2 linked regions of the Drosophila melanogaster genome follow. The protein of the gene in region 2 interacts with the protein of the main gene of each other region in a pairwise test. Each region holds a gene or a part of one and is shown on either strand. Other genes may lie near its edges.

What was found. Proteins that work in one complex are often made in the same cells at the same time.
Region 1: the proteins of az2 (region 2) and B-H2 interact in a two-hybrid assay, tested with the Drosophila melanogaster proteins (one large-scale study listed by BioGRID).

What each region holds. Positions count from the first base shown.
Region 1 is NC_004354.4:17,312,900-17,318,600, reverse strand, and holds the start of B-H2 (BarH2), read right to left. Parts: upstream 4,021-5,701; 5' UTR 3,732-4,020; coding exon 2,690-3,731; intron 1-2,689. UniProt on the Drosophila melanogaster protein: B-H1 and B-H2 are regulated by members of the wg signaling pathway; wg and dpp. B-H1 and B-H2 are coexpressed and functionally required in R1 and R6 receptor cells and primary pigment cells for normal eye development.
Region 2 is NT_033778.4:7,508,954-7,515,353, forward strand, and holds az2 (az2), read right to left. Parts: upstream 3,797-6,400; 5' UTR 3,743-3,796; coding exon 3,317-3,742; intron 3,251-3,316; coding exon 2,888-3,250; intron 2,832-2,887; coding exon 1,839-2,831; 3' UTR 1,669-1,838; downstream 1-1,668. Other genes in the region: mEFTu2 (mitochondrial translation elongation factor Tu 2), read right to left, coding at 1-687, 754-1,158; CG1603 (uncharacterized protein), read right to left, coding at 5,374-6,210, 6,267-6,400.

The DNA.
Region 1 (5,701 bases), on a different chromosome or scaffold from region 2:
GAAAATATCAATTTCAATATTGAAACTTTTTTCGTCTTTTCTTTTTTTTTTTAGCACTCGATGGAGGCATTGAAGTGGCAAGAGTTACCCCGTCCACCATCCAGACTCACCGATAATTTTTCGATATCCCCCCTTTTTTCGATCAGTGTACGGTTCGCTGGGCAGAGAACAAGCTTTTGGGTCAATTTCAAACGCGGTGCGAAGCAAGGATCGTCGTTTGAGCCTCGTAAAAAACGCCAAGGTGGGTAAAAAAGGATAAAAGAAGAGAAAGATCAAGAAAGAGGTGAGCAAAGACGAGGAGAAGGAGGAGGCGCACGAATGAGCAACAACTGTCGCTCGCACGCGTCTCAAGTGACACGCGAGTACTGAGTACATTAACATATCCCTCTCTTTCGCTGCACATCGAGCTATTTCTTTCTATTCCATTTTTAAACTAAAGTCTTGGGACAAAATAACTGCTTTGTAAATTTTTTTTTTTTTTTTTTGAGGATAATATGTCCACCGTTAACCTAATATTTTATAAGCTTTCTGATTTTTAAATAACGTCATCGAAATGTTATATTTTGAGAATAGCCTTCCTTGTATAACTCTTTTTTTTATTTTTCTCAGCGTGGGTTCTTCATAAGAGAGCGAGAGAGAAAGCGAGAATGCCAATGGGTGTTTTTTTTTTTTTTGTAGAGGAGACTGTGTGTGGGTTGTCCGGCTGCCCAGCCAGCAGATTAAATTAAATTTTGATTTTGATTTCTTCAGTTTCATTTGTGTTTTTATTTATCTGCGTGTGTGTGGCACGGCCTGGCTTGTGGCTCAAGTCAAGGCAATTTCGGTTTGGAAAAATGACAGCGGGAAGTCAAAACAGAAGGGGGTCACTTGGAGGGAGAAATCTCCGCTTTTGGTTATAGTTTAATTTGGTAATTGATTTTGGCACAAGTCAAAAAACACATATAAATGTGAAAATTGTCCATGAAATTGGGGAAGCTTTGATTGAAACAAAATTGCTTAGGGGCTTATAATTTCTCGTTAACAAAAAAAAAACTGAATTGAGACCGGGCAATTATTAAAATAACTAAAATTACTCGGCATTTTAGTTATCCAAAAATAGTGGAAACTCATTTTTATCATCCTTTGGGATTTCGTAAAAAATCTATAATAAAAACACACACACATCTTTTGTAGCAAACTCAACATTCTGACCTTTTGTTCTGATTTCCATGCTCTTTCAAATACATACATATATATTTGTGCACGTTCTCGGCCTTTCTAAATTATATTACTGCAAATCAATTGCAAACGCACGATTACGGCTATTTAATAGTAATTTGTTATAATTTGCATATCGTTTAAAAGCACTTAACGAGAGGAAAAAAGCAAAACTAAAGCTAGGCAACAAAATCAATTAGATTGTTGCATGCAAAACAAGGTTGACGGCACGCGGGGGGCGTGGCAGTCAAGGGTATTCTGTTGACAGTTTTGACTGGGAAATATGTTGAAAATAAGCGAACACTTGGCTAATCTGGCCAATAAGTTGAGGGGGGGGGGGGGGGATTGAAAAGGAAAAAACAGAAAGAGAGACATATACAGGTAGAGGAAGAAAGAGAGAGTGAGAGACAAAACCTAAGACACCTGCCTCAGACTCGAACTCACCTGTATTTTTCGAGTCTTCGCCTATCAAGCCAGCATTTTCCCCGTTCGAGCCGCACAATTTACGGTGGTTGTTGGTGCGGTTGTTGTTGGCCGTTATCTATTAGCCAACAGCCACAACAAAAACGACAAAGACAACAGGAAAAACAACCACGCTTAGCACTCAATATATGATATATCCCGGTCGCGGGGAAAATCGTAAATTTAAAGTGGTGCGAACTCAGGGGTCAGATGGATAGGTGTAAATTGGTTTCGAGATCCCCTTCAGTGTATAAACAAAAGTCCACCGTTTGGGTTTCAAATTAATACCAACCGAATCAAATTTATCAGCTAACATTTATTGGTGTGCATACTATGAAATAATTTCTATTCTCTATAGCCATAAAAGCCCTTTTCGTTTAATAAAATAGCTAATACAGCTGAACTTTGGTAAAGTTTATAAATAGAACTGGTTTTAATGGCAATTTGTATACTATAATTACTAGCTTCCTTTATTTCCTTTAATATTCTATGCAAATTTACTAGAGCTTAAATACATATATATTAGCTAGATTTTGATTGCTTTTAATTTGTACGTCAGGAACACGTATAAAAAAGCCTTGATTGGTATTTTGAAACATTTATATCTCGCATTATATCTTGTCTTTCTTTTTTCTTGCTATTTTGAATATCAGTTGTTCATTAGATTTCACTTTCCCATCCAGTCCAGTCCCTGAAATATCACAAATATCATATTGCTATATATATATATATATATATTCTCTATATGTATCCCCGCTTTGCTCTTCTCATATTACTTGATATTGCAATAAAGTGTCTATATACATATACATATATTCCGCACTTGGTGCTATTCTTCAAGATCCATCTGAATCTGTATGTCTGTCTCATGAACTAGTCTCTTCCTTTAGTTAGCAACTTAATTATTTCTGCTATATATATATATATATACTTTATATATTCCCGATGTAGCCTTATCCTTGAAATACAGCTTAAACCATATTGCTATACAGATTCATTGTATGTTTATGATATATGATCAGCGACTTACCGCAATCATCGCTGTCGCTGTCGTCGATTGTGCTGGCTTGATCGCCGCTAATGCTGCTGCCGGGTCCTCCGAGCAACATGTTGCCGTTGCCACTGCCATTGTTGTTGTTGCTGCTGCTGCTGTTGCCGCTGATGATGTTGCTGTTGGCACTAGCACTGTTGTTGTTGTTGTTGTTGTTGTTACTGGCACTGCTGCTGTTGTTGTTATTGTTGTTGTTATTGCCACCGTTACCGCCCAATTGTTGCAGCATCAGCGGTGACCGGGATCGCTCATCGTGCATGGGATGATGCAGATGCGGATGGTGCTGCTGGTGGCTCAGGTGGCTTAAGTGGCTCAAGTGCTGGGCAGGATCACCGGTCAGCCCGTGGCCATGCCGATGCAGTGCCTCCAATCGTTCCCTCTCAAGCTGCAGATGATGCGGGTGGGGATGTTGCTGTTGCTGCTGTTGCTGTTGCTGCTGCTGCAGCACGGCGTAGTGGGCGGGCGGAAAGTGGGCGAGCAGATGGGGCGGCATGGGGTGGTGGGCATAGGGATTGTTGCCAGGCGGCGAATGTCTCTCCCTATAGTGTTCCCGCTCCCGCTCCCTCTCCCTTTCCCGTTCAAAGCGCAGCAACTGCTGCTGTTGCACGATGTACTGTTGCAGGGCAGCCTGCTGATGTTGCTGCTGCTGCTGCTGCTGCTGGTGATGATGGTGTTGTTGCTGCTGCTGGTGATGGTGGTGATGCTGGGCGACCAGCGATTGCTCCCGCTCCGAGTCCGTCGGACTGCCACGCCCACCGCCGGAAGAGGCGGCTGCCAAGGCGGCCGCCGCTGCTGCTGCCGCCGCCGATGCGGCCGCGGCTCCTGCCAAAATATCGGTGATCATAAAGCGGGATCGCGTCGCCGTTGTGGCCGTGGCTGTCGTCGTGTTGCTGCCGACGGCCGGGGAAGCTGGACGCGGCATACCGCCGCCGACGGCAGCGGGATGATGAGCGGTGGCACTCGGTGCACTGCCAACGGGAGCTGCCGTTGTTGCGGACATTTCCGGTGGCATTGTGGTCATGTGTGGTTAGCCGACGACTCCGCTGCTGCACCTGCACTTTGCACCGAAAAAAAACAAACAGCTATGTATGTATGTATGGGTGACGCGAGTTTTTAGCACTTCTTCAGTTAATTGTTGGTAGCTGCTCGCACTTATTTCTTAAACTTGACAAGTTCTTGAACTCCGCTTTCGATTGCTCTTGCGTTGGTTAATGTTTTCTTGGCCCAACTGGGTTTTTAACGCAAATGTCGCTGAGGTGCGCACACTTTGTGATGTTCAATAGCGGAGCAACAACCGCTCGCCTTTGGCTTTCGACCGAAACTGAAACTTGCTGCCAGCAACAGCAACTGGCAGCAGCAGCAGCAACAACAGCAGCAGCGGCAACAGCAGCAACAACAAGAAGGCAGCAAAAACCAGTTGAGCCACCGCTTCCCATCAGCTGCCACCTGTCGTCGTCTCTTTTTCGCTCATTGACCTGGCCAAGTGGCGGTGTGGTGAGTTTCCCTCTCTGTCGCCCCGCGACTGCCTCTCGCTCGCACCCACGGCTGCCCACATTTATTGCCCGCACTTATTGGTCGTAATTGGCAGCAATTGACATTCATTAGGCTTCAATCAGCGGGACTCAAGTTGGCGGGTGTGGTGACTTTCCGCCGGCAATGGCCGCACGTCTAACGGTTATTTTTATGGCACGTGGTGGAGTTGGCTGTTTCGAACTACAACCGCACAAAAAGTATTGCAATTAACTTCATATCCTTAAATAAATAGGGTTTATTAAGTCTTGTCAATTTATATAAAAAGTTATTTGTACTTATTTGATTTCTATAAATCTGAACAAAAACGTGTTCGTTATCTTTGAGGGTTAAATATAGTCTTAGGGGTCAGTTGGTTATTTCATATTATTTTAGCTGCTTTCAAACAAAATTTGAACAGTGTTAATGGTAAACTTTTATTATAATAGCGAGTATTATTAAAAAATATGTAGCCATGCATCTTTAATATACTAATAACTTGTTATCTAACTTTCCAACTAAATATAGTTTGTACAGGAATGACAGAACATTTATGCAATATGCCTCCAGCAGTAGCAAAATCATACTGTTTTAGAAGGTTTCCCTGTTCAATACGACTTCCCATAAACTTTTTATGGCAGCTTGAAACTCAACACGATTATGGCAGCAGGGCAGCTGCCGCCTTTGCTTTTGCTTCTAATGTTGCTTTTGCTGTTGTATCTGATGGACAGATATCCGGATGGCAAGATGGATGGATGGGATGCTGTCAACCCTGTTTTGTGGCCAGGCCACGCCCCCTTAAACTGGTTTGTGCGAGCGAGAGGCAGCCGGCACGACATCTGTCTGTCTCGCTTTGGCCCAAGGGCTGGCCGCCTGTGGCTCGCCTCGGGCCCTCTCGCTCTGCGTACTTTGTTGTTGGTGTCTTTTGTTATTTTTGCGCTTGTTAACACTTTTTGTTTGGCATTTAAACAGTAAATTGGCAGCAGTTAAATGCTGCACGCTTTCCTCTCTGTCGCACGCGATAGTGCCCTCTCTTTCCACTCACTTCTGGTTTACTTCTTGTATCGATGTCAATTTGCTGCCTAATGTGCAAGTGAATGGGTCTCAGGGGGGGGGTGGCTATCCAAGAGGGGGCTGTATACCACTGGGGGTTCCTACCACCTCATTCCTGTGGACTAACAAGCGTGCTCCGGTGGGCAGGAGCTACTCGAGGAGGCAGTCTTTGGCGCCTGGAGGCGGATGCTCCCGCTGCCACATGTTTATTGTATAGTTAGCTTTTCAAAATGGCCTCACGGCAGCAATTGTCGGGTATTACTGGCCATTGGTATGTATCCGAGTTCCTGTCGCCAAACGTTTCCAGGAATAGAGTATCGTAATCATAGATATATCCCAAGCATTTACGACCTGACAAACGATCGGGCTGGAGCAGGAAAACGAAGACGTGACCGGGATCATTGGGTACAGTTTGTATTGCCTCTGAAT
Region 2 (6,400 bases):
ACCACCCTCGGCCCGCGATAGCAGATACATGGAGCCTTCAAAGTGGTTGGATATATCCTCGGAGCCGGTTGCGCACAGTAGCATTCCCCGCTCCACGGCGGATATCTTAATACCTCGCAGCAGTGCGCCGACGTTCTCGCCAGCCTGTGCCTGAGGCACGCTCTTCCGGAATATCTGGATGTCGCTGATGCTTGTCTTCAGGTTCTGATTGAAGCCCAGTAGGTCTGCATCCGCGTTCCGGGGAATGGTGCCCCTTTTGATGGTTCCCACGACCACGGTTCCCCTTCCGGGTACCGTAAAAGCATTGTCTATTGGCAGGATAAATGGGGACGAGATATCGCGCTGCGGCGTTGGTATGTAAGAGTCGCATTGCTCAAGTAGCTTTTCAATTGACGGAACCCCGAACTCCGATTTATCTTCGCGAAGGGCCAGCAGCGCTGAGCCACAAATTACCGGGCTATTCACGCCATCAAAGCCGAAATCACTTAGCATCTCACGCATCTCGATCTCGACCAGTTCCAGCACCTCCTGGTCCACCAAATCGGCCTTGTTTATAAACACTATGATGCGCTGGATGCCCACTTGTTTTGCCAGAAGAAGGTGCTCGCGAGTCTGGGGCATTTGACCATCGGTGGCAGCCACCACTAGAATGGCGCCATCCATTTGGGAGGCGCCCGAGATCATGTTCTGTAGATCAGATAGAAAGTTTCGTTAAATTGGTGGAACATTGGTTGGTTCTTTTGGCTGAGCTACCTTTATGTAGTCCGCATGACCCGGGCAATCCGTGTGAGCGTAGGTGCGTTCTGTAGTGGAATACCCAATATGGCAAGCATTTATAGTTATGCCACGCGCCTTCTCCTCGGGCGCCCGATCAATCTGGTCGTAGGACAGGTACTCCGCCAGACCCTTCTGTGACTGGATTCTGGTAATGGCGGCGGTCAGGGTCGTTTTACCATGGTCAACGTGACCAATGGTGCCCACATTGCAGTGGGGCAGCTCCCGCAGCCCCGGGGCCGGATTTTTATCCGCACTGGTGGCCAGGAGACGGGTCCCTGTCCACCGGCTCTGACTGGCGCCGGGTCCAATCAGTGCCTGGCTGATACGGCGCACTAGCCCCGCTTCACATTGGCGCCACAACTTCGGAAGGAGTCCGCTCATTTCTCCTCTCCAGGTCTGTAATCTTGGTGCAGAGCACGTAACACCGAGCACGTCGCGGAAAACCAAAACACGAACAGCTGTTGGCCAGTGCTGCACAGCGCAAGAATAGGTGAGCTGATAACTTCGAAAATTTTGATTACCCGAAGTTAATGAAATAAATATAAAAAAATGCTATAAATTCTAACATTTGACATAGTAGGACAAATTTCTCTAACGGCAGACAAAGGAACCTCTGCTGGCTAGCAGGCAAAATGTACTCCTGATATGCTCAATTGCTACGCCAATAGAACCCAAAATTAGATATAAAAATAAGTATTATTACACCTTCAATTTCAAAATTCAGTGCTTTTTTGTGTTTTCAAGTTACTATATCACAAAGGCATACAAATGCATAGTGCTCAGTGTAGTCTTTATTAAGAAAATTCAGATGGATTATCTAAAAATCGAACAATTCAAATATGTCGAATAATAGAATAGAATAATAGAAATCATTTTAAACATTTTTGTTTTCATTTTTGCAAGCTTGGACAAATATATTGTAAAATCTCTTGTTTCAATACTAAAAAATATTTAGGAGTAATAATACATTAAGAACATTAAAAAATTCATGTTTTTTGGCACTATAGCCATATTTTCTGGTTATTAACAAATGTAAATACTTGTCATGGTTTGGAAATGTCTCAAGGCTGAGGGAATGTCTTTGTAAAGAGTGCGTCGCTTGACGACAGAGAGCTCTTGAGGATCTTGTGGGTGCGTCGCATGTGGACGCCAAGACTAACTCGCTCCGAGAAGCGCGTCGTGCAGAGCGAACATTGCAGGGTCTTCTCCTTGTGGATGTGGCGATGCTTGACTAAGGCGTTGGCATTGGTGAAGGCCTTCTGACAGACCTCGCAGACCTTGTCGCGGATGTTCAGGTGCGCCTTTACGTGGTCCTTGAGGTCGCGCTTGGTCAGGAAGTCCTTGGGGCACATGTCGCACTTGAAGGCTCGGATCTTGGTGTGAACCGCAGTTACGTGCGTTGTCATTTGGATTTTTTGCTTAAAACACTTGCCGCAGAACTCGCAGACAAATGGCTTGGCGACGTGCTTCTCGTCATGGGTGCGTTTGTGGATAGCCAGTTGATTTCCAAAGGCAAAGCTCCTGCTGCAGATCTCGCAGACAAAGCTCTTGTCCATGTGCACACGCTGGCTGTGCTGCTGCAGGTGACACTTTCGGTCGAAGTTCAGCTCGCAAAGCGTGCAGCGAAACCAGCCTCCATCGCCCATCTTATGATCCCGGAACTGATGTGCTTGCAGGGCGTGATCTGTGCTAAAGGAGTGCTCGCAGACTTCACATTTAAGCTTCTGTCGGAATGATTTAGTGGGCATAAAGCTATTGCAGCGCTCGATGTACTGCTTCTCGGCCAGCGAGAGACCCACACATTGGACGTCTGTGAGGGTTTTGATCCGTCGCGAATACCATTGGCGCATGCTCTGAATACTGTCGTAGACATCGTAGTGGGTGACCAGGCCCAACGAAAACTCCGAAGTCAGCAGGTCAGTGATCTCTATGAGCGATGACTTTCGTACGTTTAGATTGCAGAAGTGCTTGTGCGCGGGATCGTACAGTTGGGGAAACTTGGAGTACAAATCAATGAACTGTGTGGTCAGTTGATTCTCCTCTGTGAACACCAGCTGTCGTGGGGAACGCATTAGAGTGGCTTAGAAAGCTGTTTGTCACTCGGACTCACCTTTATTTTGCCATCGCCGTCGACATCATCGCTGTCCGCATCCTCCAGACTACCGCGCTCTGCCAGAAAGCTGTACTTTCCATGGTAGTACAGTGGAACCTTGGTTAGTTTCTGAGTTTTCTTCTGCCGCGAGATCGACGCATACTGCGCGTGTAGGCTGGTGATGCACTTCTTCAGCTTATAGGCCGTTAGGTGAAGATTGACGGTCGCCTTTAATTGCTCCAGCAACTCCTCATAGGCATTTGCGCGTTTCTCCTTGTCCCTGTACGACTCATCCGCTGGATCCCAGAGGCATGTCTGCTGCTTATACAGTTCAATGAACTGTGTGATCCGAGGACTGCGTCGGTAAAACGTAGGATTGAACTGCCGGGATGCAAAACGTCTGCTTTAATTTGTTGGTTTTTGTTGCTGGTGTAGTCAGTTGCTTACTTTGGTTAAAGGAGCAAAGTGTGTGGAGTTTCTGGTGCCCAATTCGCAGTCAACTGTCATCGAGGAGGAGTCCACCTCGTCGTCTTCTTCCTCCTCCTCCTCCACCGGGCTGGTGCTCTCGTCGTTCTCTGATGAAGGTGGCACGTCAACGAACATGTCTTCAGCCAGGCAATTTTCCGGAGGCTCCTCCACTATGAACACCTTGGCTGGCGAGACCTCCTCCTCGCATTTGGCTGACGAAATGACTTCGGAAGTAGTGAGCTCTTGCTGCATGCTTGGATTTGCTTCCAGGTGCTCCTTGACGTGCACGATGAACTCTCGCCACCGCTTGAACTCCATCTCCACGTAGCAGTCATTTTGGTGAGCACACGCCAGAACAAAGTGCTCGAAGTTGTTCCTGGCCAAAATGTTCCCGCAAACCACCATGATTTGCTTACAAACAAATAAGATACAATGCCAAATAGCACAACAACAACGCCATTTATCGGTATCGATAAGCACCGGATGGTCAGTGTTGGGAAGATACCCGCGGAAATTCCATTGAAACGAAATCATCTCAATTTTAGAAAATATTTTATATGTAGACAAATAATTATATATACTATACAGCTTAAATTTAAATCTTGCTATAACATGAGTATTAGTTGTGTTAAATCAACTTTTAAATCAATTATAAATTTTTAAATATATTTTAAACTATTTCATTTTAAGCTGGAATAAAAACACTACTTTTAGTTGACTGATTCTGGTACTTATTCCCATTCGGAACAAGAGTCGAATTCCCCGACAATCAAATACTCCTTACTTAGCCAGTGGAAATACAAGTAGTTCATACGGACAGACGGACAGGGACAGACCGACTCGGCTATTGGTCCTTATCGAGAATATATATACTTAATATTGTCGGAAACGTTTCCTTCTGCATGTTACACACCTTTCATCGAATATATTGTAGTATACACTTTTTTTAAAGACACTAGAATATTAAGGTGCGTAACGGCCATTACATTGGTTTTCAACTATGCAGTTACTTTTTTGGTGACGGCCAAAATTGATCTCACTCCGCACGCGTAAAATGGAGAGCGTAAATTTCTTAAAATAGAATGTACTTCCTTGTGTGTGTTAAAACAACAAACGAGAAAGTGTATATGAGCATACTTGTGCTAGAAAACTTTCGTCTCGAAATCAATTTTGATCTCAGAAACGAAGGTACATACATACATATTTAAAGTTTTGGTCAAAGCTTGTTGCAATACGATCTACTACAGAGTTATTTAAAATTTAATGCCTTGACTATTCTTTTAAGAAGAGTTGTTATTAATTAAATACCGCTTATTTATTTTTGCTTATAATTAAAAATATTTAAAATTGCACTGACGACATACTTCAACAAGGGTCTATGAGCAGTATCTTGTACCGTATAAAAATTATTTTCATCATTATTTAAGCTAATAAACTAAATAAAGTCTTAAATCGTTATTATAACTATTGTAATTAAAAATATAAATTTGGCAAAAAGGAAAATACATTTAAAAAAATATATTTCATAAAAGAAATATAAATACATTGTTAAAAATGAATATATATAAAATTTTGTACACGTCATTTGATCAAAAATAATAATAATAGAGCTGCTAGCTCTAGAGCTCTCCGCTCTCTGACTTTTGAACAAAAACTCGGGAGAGCCTCAAGCCAGCTCTAGATCTAGAGCCAGAACCAAAAAATCATATGTTATTCTAATATCTCCTCTACAAGTAACGGTTATACAAATTTATCTTAAAACGAACTTATTTTTCCGGCTTCTTCTTTTTTTTATGAATAATACATTCCTTAAACCAAATTTTGAAAAGGAAAGTATGAAAAAGGAAAAGCTTGTGCATATGATTATCATACACATGTTCTTATCAAATACACAAAAGCCGTAAGTGCTTAACAACACGCTTGTTATTATCACTACTCTAACGTAAGTTTATTCTTGATTTACATCAAATGAAGCTTACTGATTCTCGTTATCAAAAAATAAAGCAGTTTCTAAAAATGTCCCTCAAGGCGAGAGTTCATTCCGATCTGTGGCTGCGGCGATGTCTGGAAAGCGAAGAATGGTCATAGAACGTAGCATCACAGTACTCGCACTTCTTATCACGGATATTCAGATGTCCTTTGATATGGTTGGCCAGCTCGAACTTCTTGCGGAAGGTTTTGGTGCACATATTGCAGCTGTAGGGTCTAATGTTCAGGTGAACTCCGTTGACGTGGTGGTCCAGGAGTAGCTTGAGCCGGAATGTCTTGCCGCAGATGTCACAGACGTGAGGCCGCTCGCCCGTGTGGATTAGTGTGTGCACCTTTAGGTCGGTATCCACGGCGAACGATTTTTCGCAGTACTGGCACTTCAACTTGCGTTCGAAGTGGGAACGCAGCTTGTGACGGTCCATGTCTACGTGGCGGTCGAAGCGCCTCGGGCAGAACGAGCAGAGGTACGGTAGGTCGCCCACCTCGTGCGCCTTGACGATGTGCACCCGTAGGTTGTAGTCGCCGTGGAAACGTTTATCGCAGTAGTCACAGTACAGCACCTGACTTTCGGAACCCTTGGCGGGCAAGAAGCTGCACATTTGCAGATACTGAACCTCTTGCTTGCTGCACTTCTGAATTAGTTCCTTGGATTTGAGGCGACGAATGGCATCGTAAAGCCAACGGCGCAGCTTGTTGACCGCAATGTAAACGTCCGTTTCGTTGGCCTTCACCACTGGCTGGAATTCCTTTGCCATTCTTTTGAAGGCATCTGCACGTATCTCTATTGAGCCAAAGTCTGGCAACGCTTGATTATACAGCACGGGATAGTTGGCATAGGTCTCTATGAATGAGGTGGTTATCAGGTTTTCCTCCTTAAAATTAAGCTGAAAAAAGGATTTTTGGTCAGAAAAGAGCTACATTATAGTGGGCTAGTTATTACCTTAATTGCAGTCAAGTCGTTGTCCTCCTCGTTCTCCCTTGGCGTTACAACAGGCGCCACACTGAGGAACTCGCACTTGGCAAAGTAACGCGCTGCAAGTCCAACAAGCTTTCCCCTTTGTTTTGTCTCCAAAG